Linked DNA regions of Mus musculus. The protein of the gene in region 1 interacts with the protein of each later gene in a biochemical or structural test. Links are inferred from orthologs where the notes say so. Each region holds a gene or a part of one and is shown in the gene's direction. Other genes may lie near its edges. The genes, in order: Rbpj, Notch1 and Spen.

What was found.
Region 2: the proteins of Rbpj (region 1) and Notch1 form a complex in vitro, tested with the Homo sapiens proteins (5 studies listed by BioGRID and IntAct, with this or other methods). The link is inferred for Mus musculus from reciprocal best matches to the Homo sapiens genes RBPJ and NOTCH1.
Region 3: the proteins of Rbpj (region 1) and Spen form a complex in vitro, tested with the Homo sapiens proteins (2 studies listed by BioGRID and IntAct). The link is inferred for Mus musculus from reciprocal best matches to the Homo sapiens genes RBPJ and SPEN.

The regions. Positions count from the first base shown.
Region 1 is NC_000071.6:53,652,838-53,656,487, forward strand, and holds part of Rbpj (recombining binding protein suppressor of hairless), read left to right. Parts: intron 1-244; coding exon 245-348; intron 349-467; coding exon 468-783; 3' UTR 784-3,650. UniProt on the Homo sapiens protein: Transcriptional regulator that plays a central role in Notch signaling, a signaling pathway involved in cell-cell communication that regulates a broad spectrum of cell-fate determinations.
Region 2 is NC_000068.7:26,458,726-26,462,375, reverse strand, and holds part of Notch1 (neurogenic locus notch homolog protein 1 precursor), read left to right. Parts: coding exon 1-34; intron 35-130; coding exon 131-228; intron 229-1,399; coding exon 1,400-2,845; 3' UTR 2,846-3,650. UniProt on the Homo sapiens protein: Functions as a receptor for membrane-bound ligands Jagged-1 (JAG1), Jagged-2 (JAG2) and Delta-1 (DLL1) to regulate cell-fate determination.
Region 3 is NC_000070.6:141,489,980-141,493,629, reverse strand, and holds part of Spen (msx2-interacting protein), read left to right. Parts: intron 1-33; coding exon 34-234; intron 235-3,632; coding exon 3,633-3,650. UniProt on the Homo sapiens protein: May serve as a nuclear matrix platform that organizes and integrates transcriptional responses. In osteoblasts, supports transcription activation: synergizes with RUNX2 to enhance FGFR2-mediated activation of the osteocalcin FGF-responsive element (OCFRE).

The DNA.
Region 1 (3,650 bases):
TTTTAATGTTACAGTTTGCGTTCTTATTATATGTACTATTCATAGAAAATAAAAATAGAAGAAGTATGTTTACATTGAAGCTTAAATCACATTGAATGTTATCTTGAAATGGTTTTGTAGTCATGTTATTTAACAGAGATGTTTTATAAATCTGAACTTGTTAACCTTCATGAAATTATAGCTCAAGCTCTGTTCTTCAGTGAAGAGTGAAAATCTGTCTTAATGTGGTTTCTCTAAATTGCAGTTGAATGGCGGCGGGGACGTAGCAATGCTTGAACTTACAGGACAAAACTTTACTCCAAATTTAAGAGTGTGGTTTGGGGATGTAGAAGCCGAAACAATGTACAGGTACTGATAGAGCCTGTTCTGTCACCCAGGGGTTGGGAAGGTGTAAGCCCCTGAGACTGTCCATACAGAGCTGTGTTTGCTTTGAAAATGCTTCTAAATGGTGTGTGTTTCCTCCTTAGATGTGGAGAGAGCATGCTCTGTGTGGTCCCAGACATTTCTGCATTCCGGGAAGGTTGGAGATGGGTCCGCCAGCCAGTCCAGGTTCCAGTGACTTTGGTCCGAAATGACGGGGTCATTTACTCCACCAGCCTTACCTTCACCTACACACCAGAGCCAGGGCCGAGGCCACACTGCAGCGCTGCAGGAGCGATTCTCAGAGCCAACTCCAGCCAAGTGCCCTCCAATGAGTCAAACACAAACAGCGAGGGGAATTACACAAATGCCAGCACAAATTCTACCAGTGTCACATCGTCCACAGCAACCGTGGTGTCCTAACTACCGTCTTTTTGCTGGGACTGAAACTGACTTGAATGCAGCAAAAAGTTGACAGAGAAAGGCAAGGATAAAGTGAACAATCTTTTGTGGTTTCTTGGGGAAACGTTTCGTACCAGGTGATCTATTCAAAACTGCCAGTGCAGGTGTGACATGCAGAGGCCACAGTACAATGAACAACATCAGAATGCACAGGCTGATGGAAATCCAGGTTTTCAGCTGTCCCTCTCACACGCACCCCTTTTTGGTTGTTTTGGTTTGGTTTTGATTTAATGGCCAGGAAACAGATATGTGGCTGGAGCACAGGCTAAGCTAGAAGACACAAACCTAACATAGACTTATGGACCAAGGGACTCGCATAAGCTTTAGTGAAAGGTACATTTTCACCATGCCTTTTTTATATCACAGTGTGTACTACACCTTGTTACCAAACAGGTTGCGCTCCCCACCCTTTGAGGGTTGGCTCTAAAGTACATTCATTCAGGTTCGAGCCTCACCATGTTTGTTCAGTCTGAACACTGAACACTTCCAGGTTCTTGTGGTCTAAGGCTGGAACTTTTTTAAGCTGAAGTCTTATGACTTTTTCATAAGTTGGAATTATTTTGATTTCAGCAAGTCAAATTTTGTAAAGGCCTGCATATTTTTTTTAAGATTATATGAAGTCTGCAAAAGCTTTAAAAATGCCTCTGCCTTGCCTGCAATACATGCAATGTGTGTTAACTGAGTCTGTTCTCAGAATCTGTTGGTAGTTATTTCTGTGTTTTCCCTTTTTTTAAAGAAATGTATTTATAGTGGTAATCTAAGAGATGCTAACAGCTCCGTGTGGCCATTTAGCCCTTTCTGAGTTCATGGCAGTGAGCACTGCCGTTCGAAGGCTGTGCGCCTCTGCCTGTTCATCAGTTCATCTGTGTTCCAGGATTTGTTCAGGTTTCCCCTTCCCCCAAATCTTGTACATAACTTGTATTATGTGTAAGTTAAACATTTTATCTTTACTTGGAATGTTCCCAGTGATTACATTTCACAGGGTGTTTCCCACCTTGTTGGCAAATGACAAAAAATATCATGCGAATTATTTGCTACCAAGATGGTGCCCGTAGGGTAAAATGAGGAACATCTCTGCAGGATGATTTATTGTATGTTTTCCTTTTTTTTTAGCCTAGCCAGAACATCATTATAATTTTAAAGACCATAAGATGGCTTTTATTAGATGATAACTAAATAAACTGAACTAAGTAGCCAGAAGACAGTACCTTAGAGACTGATAGTTGTAAGTTTATAAAAATACAAATGTAACTTATATTTCCATTTTCCTCTTTGCCCCTTTGTTTATTTTCCCCAGTAGAAATGTTCTGTCCAGATTTTTTTCCCCCTTTTTAGTTAAGCCTTGCTTGCATTCAGGCTTGTGTGTCAGCCCTGTGTGCCAATATGCCAGATTCATTTTGTTTCCATCCCTGCACTTTGGTTATTCCTTGTTCAGTTTCTTGGGAATTGAAGCAGACTCATTGGGCTACATTTAGTACAAGAACCACATGTGTGATGTTAAAGGACACAGTCTAGTGATGCCATCATCCTTGAGTAAAAACTACCTCTAGATTGTGGTAAGCTTTTACTGTCCCTTAAAACAGGAGCCACTAGTACCTTATGAATGCAGACTGTAACTTCTATGGCATTTTCTGGTGTCTTTCTGGCTCTCTGGGCTTCTGAAAGTTTTCACGTAGACCCTTAGACTCCTCTGTCAGGACCATTGCTTTCCAGCGTTGCTGCTTTCACTCGCTGTCTCGAAGACTGTACCACTGTAAGTGCCACTGCGAACATCTTTAAACGGCTCCTCCTTGGCTTGTCAAGGGGAAGGCCACCTGTAAGATGTGGTGGTGACAGCCTTCCTGTCCACCCCAGGCTGCTCCTTACCAGCTGTTCTAGCCGATTCTCTTCAGATCAGCTACAGCCCACCTCCTCCCCGCCCCGCCTCACCCCTCCAGGCTGTCTCAGTGGTCCAGGGCAGAGCTCACTGTGGCCTTACTGATCTATCTCTGCAGTAACTGTTCTCCCTCAGTTGCGATGGAAGCAGGCCCCTGCGATCTGTTCAGAGCCTGAGCAGTTTGCAGTTCCGTTGTGCTTTCTGAGGTCCTAGATTCAGGATGTAGTTAAGTCGATAACTGAGAACAGATGAGATGCTTTTAAAGAACAAACTCTTCCTTACCCAGCTTTGTAGCTTAAAGTAAGTTTTCAAGTTCATGGCTTTATTAAAATGAACTTTGACTTTTTAAAATGCTTATATCTCATTTCGGTTCTTTTGTTTATTTTAGTAAGAATTGAAACAGACTATAAGTAGTTTTCCTGTTTGTTTGTTTGTTTGTTTGTTTTTTACAAAGTTCAAGAATGTAACAATAAAGGCATTTTGCTATGGTTCTATGTCAGACTCCTACCACAGAATAGTGTGAACAGATATGTCTGTCTGCTTTACCATGTTATTGATAGTTCTTTTGTCAGCTGCTTTTATTAAAAGTCCTCTTTTGTGAATTTGTAAATCAATTTCAATATATGATGTACAGGAGTCTTGTCCCCCGTTACTGTGGAATGTTCCCCCCTGTTGATGCTGGTCCCTTTATCCTCTTATCTTCTTAGAACCGGGAATTCTTCAGTTGTGGTGTGTGGCTGTATTTTTCTATTCTGTTTACAGTGCGTCTACACAGCTTCTTAAAACATGTCGAAATGCAGAATCCAAGATCCACCATGAATTTGTCAAGAGATTGGAAGGCAGGCCAAAACCTGAAAATGTGGGGTGCCCTTTGTACAATTGCAGAGTCAAGCACTAGTGGGAGTTTGAACTGGCTACTGACCGCTCTTAAACTGTGGCAGTGTCCTTGGGT
Region 2 (3,650 bases), on another chromosome or scaffold:
TCACATGCTGACGTCAATGCCGTGGATGACCTAGGTAGGCCCGAGCTACAGCCCAGCTACCGAGGACATCAGCCAGTGCCTGGTCTGCTCAGCCCCAACCCACTCTCTCCTCTCTTTGCTTCCTTTCCAGGCAAGTCGGCTTTGCATTGGGCGGCCGCGGTGAACAATGTGGATGCTGCTGTTGTGCTCCTGAAGAACGGAGCCAACAAGGACATGCAGAACAACAAGGTAAGCAGACGGGCTGCTTAACCGCAGGCGCATGATGGGGACTCCGGGGCACCCATACGTTGACCACTTAGAGGTTTAAGAGTGTCTGGGACAACAGCAGCCTAAAATAACCCGTGCTCTTGCTGGAGAGGAGCTGAGGCGTAAGCAGCTGTCCCATGTCACGGTTACTTGAGCCTTGCCTTCTGTCCCCTTCTGTCCCTGGTGGCTGTGGTGACCCTAGGGGTTCAGGATTGGCCAAGGGGCAGGGATGGGGTGGCCCTGTCTCTTAAGGCCTGCAAGGCTTCTGGCTTGGTCCACCACTACCATGCTCCCTCCTTTGGGATAAGAAAACTGCTGAGCTGGGCTGCGTGTCTCCACCTCGCCTCCCAGTGTCTCTGTTTGTGCAGGGCTAGTTGCTTCATCAGGACTCTGCTTAGTTGCTCACAGGGCAGAGTTTGTGCCTCCCTTACCAGCTCCACTGCAGGCTGGGAAATGGAGCAGGAGTCAGGTACCTGGAGTTGCTGTTGGGCACAGGTTCTCCACAGTCCAGGGTGGGCCAGTGGTTATAGAGAATCCAAGCCTGATAGACATTCTGTTGTGGTGTATGATTATGTCTGCTGGACAGAGCAGACCTGGAAGGAGCTGAGATGCCCTAGCCACTGGTGACCCTTTGGCATGGTAGTACCTTCCCCATGGCCATTCACTTGCCTTAAAGGTCCCTGAGTCCCAGGATTGCAGTACTTGTGCCTGCATTTTGGGGAGGAAAGCAAAGGGCACACAGTTACATTCTGTTTTCGGCAGTCTGACTCCACACAGGGGAAGAAGCCCTATGTATTTATCCCACAGATCTCTGGGGTGTGAGGTGTTAAATCTAGGTTCTCTAAAAAAAGAACTCGGGACCAGCCATGTGTGCGTGCTAGCACCGAGAAGCTGAGGCAGGACGATACTGAGTTCCAAGTACGGCTGTGGGCCCTGAGTGAGATTCCTAGCAACATAGGAAGGCCCCACTATAAATACTCTCTGAGCCTGGTGGTCTAGGATGCTTGGGTCTAGATAGATCTCTCCAGATAAGAGAAGAGAAAGAGGCAGCACCTGCTTCCCTAGCCCCTCCCCCCAGGCCATCCATCATCAATGACTCAGCAAATTCTACACCTGCCCGCTCCCTCATGTACCTCCTGTCCGTGTCCTACAGGAGGAGACTCCCCTGTTCCTGGCCGCCCGTGAGGGCAGCTATGAGACTGCCAAAGTGTTGCTGGACCACTTTGCCAACCGGGACATCACGGATCACATGGACCGATTGCCGCGGGACATCGCACAGGAGCGTATGCACCACGATATCGTGCGGCTTTTGGATGAGTACAACCTGGTGCGCAGCCCACAGCTGCATGGCACTGCCCTGGGTGGCACACCCACTCTGTCTCCCACACTCTGCTCGCCCAATGGCTACCTGGGCAATCTCAAGTCTGCCACACAGGGCAAGAAGGCCCGCAAGCCCAGCACCAAAGGGCTGGCTTGTGGTAGCAAGGAAGCTAAGGACCTCAAGGCACGGAGGAAGAAGTCCCAGGATGGCAAGGGCTGCCTGTTGGACAGCTCGAGCATGCTGTCGCCTGTGGACTCCCTCGAGTCACCCCATGGCTACTTGTCAGATGTGGCCTCGCCACCCCTCCTCCCCTCCCCATTCCAGCAGTCTCCATCCATGCCTCTCAGCCACCTGCCTGGTATGCCTGACACTCACCTGGGCATCAGCCACTTGAATGTGGCAGCCAAGCCTGAGATGGCAGCACTGGCTGGAGGTAGCCGGTTGGCCTTTGAGCCACCCCCGCCACGCCTCTCCCACCTGCCTGTAGCCTCCAGTGCCAGCACAGTGCTGAGTACCAATGGCACGGGGGCTATGAATTTCACCGTGGGTGCACCGGCAAGCTTGAATGGCCAGTGTGAGTGGCTTCCCCGGCTCCAGAATGGCATGGTGCCCAGCCAGTACAACCCACTACGGCCGGGTGTGACGCCGGGCACACTGAGCACACAGGCAGCTGGCCTCCAGCATAGCATGATGGGGCCACTACACAGCAGCCTCTCCACCAATACCTTGTCCCCGATTATTTACCAGGGCCTGCCCAACACACGGCTGGCAACACAGCCTCACCTGGTGCAGACCCAGCAGGTGCAGCCACAGAACTTACAGCTCCAGCCTCAGAACCTGCAGCCACCATCACAGCCACACCTCAGTGTGAGCTCGGCAGCCAATGGGCACCTGGGCCGGAGCTTCTTGAGTGGGGAGCCCAGTCAGGCAGATGTACAACCGCTGGGCCCCAGCAGTCTGCCTGTGCACACCATTCTGCCCCAGGAAAGCCAGGCCCTGCCCACATCACTGCCATCCTCCATGGTCCCACCCATGACCACTACCCAGTTCCTGACCCCTCCTTCCCAGCACAGTTACTCCTCCTCCCCTGTGGACAACACCCCCAGCCACCAGCTGCAGGTGCCAGAGCACCCCTTCCTCACCCCATCCCCTGAGTCCCCTGACCAGTGGTCCAGCTCCTCCCCGCATTCCAACATCTCTGATTGGTCCGAGGGCATCTCCAGCCCGCCCACCACCATGCCGTCCCAGATCACCCACATTCCAGAGGCATTTAAATAAACAGAGATGTGGGATGCAGGACCCCAGCTTCCGTTCCCAAGCCCTGTTGGGAGTCCTTTCCAGTGCTTCAGGATGCTGGGGCGACCAAAGGAGCCTTTTAAAAAATGTTTTTATACAAAATAAGAGGACAAGAATTTCCATTTTTTTTTTTAGTATTTATTTATGTACTTTTATTTTCCACAGAAACACTGCCTTTTTATTTATATGTATTGTTTTCTATGGCACTAGGGAAAAACATATCTGTTCCAAGAAAATAAACTAGTTCTCAGAGCCTTGATTTTCCTGGTCAGGGTGAAGTTCCCTGTGTGTCTGTAAAATATGAACAAGGATTCATGATTTGTAAATGCTGTTTATTTATTGATTGCTTCTTTCCAAAATCGAAAAGAAAGAAAAAAGAACGTGACAGGAGAAGGGAAGCTGGAAACTGCCATGGCCAGAATTGCCCCTCCCCCACACTCACTGCCCCTCCCCCCAGCGTCACCTGGGATTTGCAGATGTGTTTAGAAACACGCCCAGACCTTGAACCTTGGGTTCATGGATTAGTTTTGTATCTAAAACAGGAAACAAGTCAGATGATGTGGTTTGTACACTTTCTGTAACCACCAGTGTGGACTTGAAGAAGTGTCCTCAGCATGTGCAGAGTCTACTACCCAGTACCAGTCGTGAGTCTGCAGGCTCCAGTGTTCTGTAGTAGTGTTTATGGGCCTTGGGAGTACTTCTCCCCTGCCCTGCCCCACTGTCCCCTTCCTGACAACTTGAGCCAGTAAGCCATGCAGGGTGTGGTGCCTCCTAGAGAAAACACTGC
Region 3 (3,650 bases), on another chromosome or scaffold:
GAGAAGATGTGCTTGTCTTGTTTGACTCTGTAGACACAAGCCTTAAAGACGGCCTTTTCCATGAGTTTAAGAAGTTTGGCAAGGTGACGTCAGTGCAGATCCACGGGGCCTCCGAGGAGAGATACGGCCTGGTGTTCTTCCGGCAGCAAGAGGACCAAGAAAAAGCATTGACCGCATCCAAGGGGAAGCTCTTCTTCGGCATGCAGATCGAGGTGACTGCATGGGTAGGACCAGGTGAGACTGCAGAGTTGACTTTCATTCAGAGCAGCATGCCACCCACGTCGGTTTGTGAGTGGTACTTAGGGCTTGGCACTGTCTGCTTTCATTTCTTAATTTACTGGCCCAATGTCTTAGTTTTTAAAGGGTGGGGTACTGAGTTGTGCTTTTGCCATGGAGAAACCCGCACCTTTTGAAATAGATACTTTTCTAGATTAAATATTCTGGTTTGAGGGAAGCAGGTAACATGAGAAGATGTGCTTGTCTTGTTTGACTCTGTAGACACAAGCCTTAAAGAATCTGATTGTAGCTCAGGCCACATGCGGACTCAGCCTTCCCTAAAGGATGGGAGTGATTGACGTGTAAAAGTGAGACCAGAATTAGCCTGCATGTGAATATCATTTGAGGGAGTCATTTGCATTTTGTCCAGCATAAATTAAATCTGCTATTTTAGGTGACTATTACAGATTTTGGGTTATCTCATTACTGGATCAGAGCCTGGACCTGGAGGCAGCCTTAAGCTAGGCTCAGCCATCATCCTCAGAACCTGAGTTAGTGTGAAAGTGAACAGCCCAGGGTGCTTGGTGTGAGAGCCCCCATCACTACTCTTGCAGAGACACTGGGTTGATTCTCAGGACCCACATGAGGCAGCTCCCAACCGCCCGTGACTCCATTCGCAGGCATCTGCGTCCTCTTCTGGTCTCTGGACACCACATACACATGGCACACATTCACACACATAAACGACGAAAACTTTAAAAAGAAGTGAAAAGCAGAGAAGAGAGACAGCACAGTATTCAGTGACTGCATCAAGGAGACCACGGATACCCCAACACCCCAGTCTTTCTTCAGGGTCGTGACATGAGATTAGTGTTTAATTAGAGGATAGAAGGTGCATATTGTTACTGTAGTCATTGGTGGGGAAAGTGACGTAAGTGACAAAGGGCATGCTCTGGCTCACAGTTCTGCTGTCCATCTCGGGGTCGGGAAGAGGCAGTCGGGAGCTGCTCATGTGTATCAGCGCCTAAATGCAGTTGCTACCCACATTTAGGGTCACCTTCCTACCTCTGTTTCCCTACTCTAGAAAGTCGTCACCACACATCCACATAGTTCCATGATAGTTCTAAGGTCCTCTCAAATGACAGTCAGATGAGACATCATACCAGAATCCAGAGGACATTCTTTGTCTCATTACCCACTGAGTTGTAAGTGTGCTGCCCCAAATTACACTCAACTAAGAACAGCTCACGAGCTCTTTATTGTTTTGTTTTCTTGAGACAGAATCTCACTGTGTAGCACAGGCTAGTCTAGAACTCACTGTGTAGTCCAGAATTCCCTTGAACTTAGGGTAGTCCTCCTGCCTCCGCCTCTGGAGTGCTAGGTTACAAGTGAGCGTCACCACAGGTATCAGGGGTTCTCCTTGGATTGCTGCGGACATTATACAGCTCTTGAGAAATACTCAGTGTGTACCTAACCGTGTAGGTCTGAGGCCATCATCAGTCAGTTGTTAACTAATGAAGGTATAACTCAGGGGCATCTGTGTAAGATGGATTAGTGTAGAAGGCCTTCTAATCTTAGTGTGTAGCATTCAAAAACAGTTGGGTTATTACTCATTCTTTTGAGACAGTTTTATTATTTAAAGCAGGCCAACCTTAAAGTCAACATCTGTTGCTTACAGTTCCCAAATGCTGGGGTTAGAGATGGGGACCACCATGCTCAGTTTATCTTTTGTTTGTTAAAGACAGGGTTTTATGAAGCCCAGGCTAGCCTTGAATCTGCTTTGTAGCAAAGACTAGCTTCAGACTCCTGTTCCTCTGCCTCCACCTCTGCTGGGGTTACAGAAGTGTGTCTCCCATGCCTGGCTTCATTGCGTGCATGCGTGCATGCATGCGTATGTATGTTAGTGTTAGGATTGAGCTCAGAGTTTTGTGCATGCTACACAGTGCTCCACTTCTGAGCTATATCATCAGCTTGTCTACATATCTTATTTTTTGTTTTGTTTTTTTGAAGACAGGGTTTCTCTGTCTTCAGAGATCCACCTCCCTCTGCCTCCCGAGCTGGGGTTGTAGGCATGCACCATCACGTCCAGCTTTCTGAAACTTTTCGTTGTGTTGGGTTTGTTTTTCATTTTCATAAGTAGAGAACATGTAGTGCTGAGCTGTAACTGTCAAAGCCTTGAGTGTCAGTGTCTGCATTAATAAGTGGAGCTCTAACAAAGCTGGGATTATATTAGATGTGGGAGCAAGGCTTTTCATTATAAAACAAAATGGAAAGAAACCTTACACAAGTTGTTAGGGACCTCATAACACCAAAGAGAGAACCCATGCATGTCACTTGAATCACTTTCTACATAGTTACTCTTACAGCTGGAAGTCTTTGTAAATTAATTATTTCAGAATAGTACTTGTACGGGTCTTGGGCCTGCATATATGTCTGTGTACCTGTCTGTGCCTGGTAGTCATGGAAAGTCAAGGTGTTGGATCCTTTGGAACTGGGTGCTGGGAATTGAACCTGGGTCCTTTGCAAGAGCAGCCAGTGCCTGACTACAGAGCCATCTTTCCATCCCCCAGAAATCTTAATTTAGACATTTGAATTACTACATTAATGTAGTGTCCATGAAATGTACCATTAAAATCTTGAAAGTAAATGAAACTAGCCAATGAATTGGAGCTGTTACTGCTGAGCCGTATTTCATTGTAGATTATAGAGTATGTGTAGGTTTTTTGTTTGTTTGTTTGTTTGTTTGTTTGTTTGTTTGTTTTGAGATAGGGTTGCCCTGTGCAGCCCACAGTTGCCAAGAACTCACTCTCTATATGGCACAGGCTGGCTTTGAACTCTCAACTCTCCTGGGTCTGCCTTCTAAATGCTAGGATTACAGGTGTGTAGTACCTGAGTCTACCCCTGGAGCCCTTGTAGAGGTGAATGAGAGAACCCACTGATGAATAGTCCACTGACCTCCATTCACACATCCCCACACTCACACCATGGACGTACACTGTAATATTAAATGTAGCCCTGATCATGGTGTTGCAAACCTTTAATCCCAGCATTCAGAAGGCAGAGGCAGCCAGATCTTTGAGTTCAAGGCCTGTCTGGTCTACATACAACTCACAGAATTATCTGTGTGTTGAAGGCCACCAAAGACATGGTGGAAGCCTGTTTCAAAACAAACCTGAACAAACAAAACCCTTTCTTAGTAAATTTCTCTGTGTGTGAGAGGGAAATGTTCAGTTTGTACATGTTTCTTGTTTTCTGAAACAGTGCCTGCTGTGTGCAGCCACTCCAGGCCTGTCAGTGTTGTTTCCTGACTGCAGAGGGTACAGGCCTGTCCACCAAGCCCAGAATGACATAGTTTGCCAATTGTATATTGGAGAGTATTAAAGCACGCTGTTCTGCTCTGCCCCATCCACTCACAGAAACAGAGAGTGAAAATG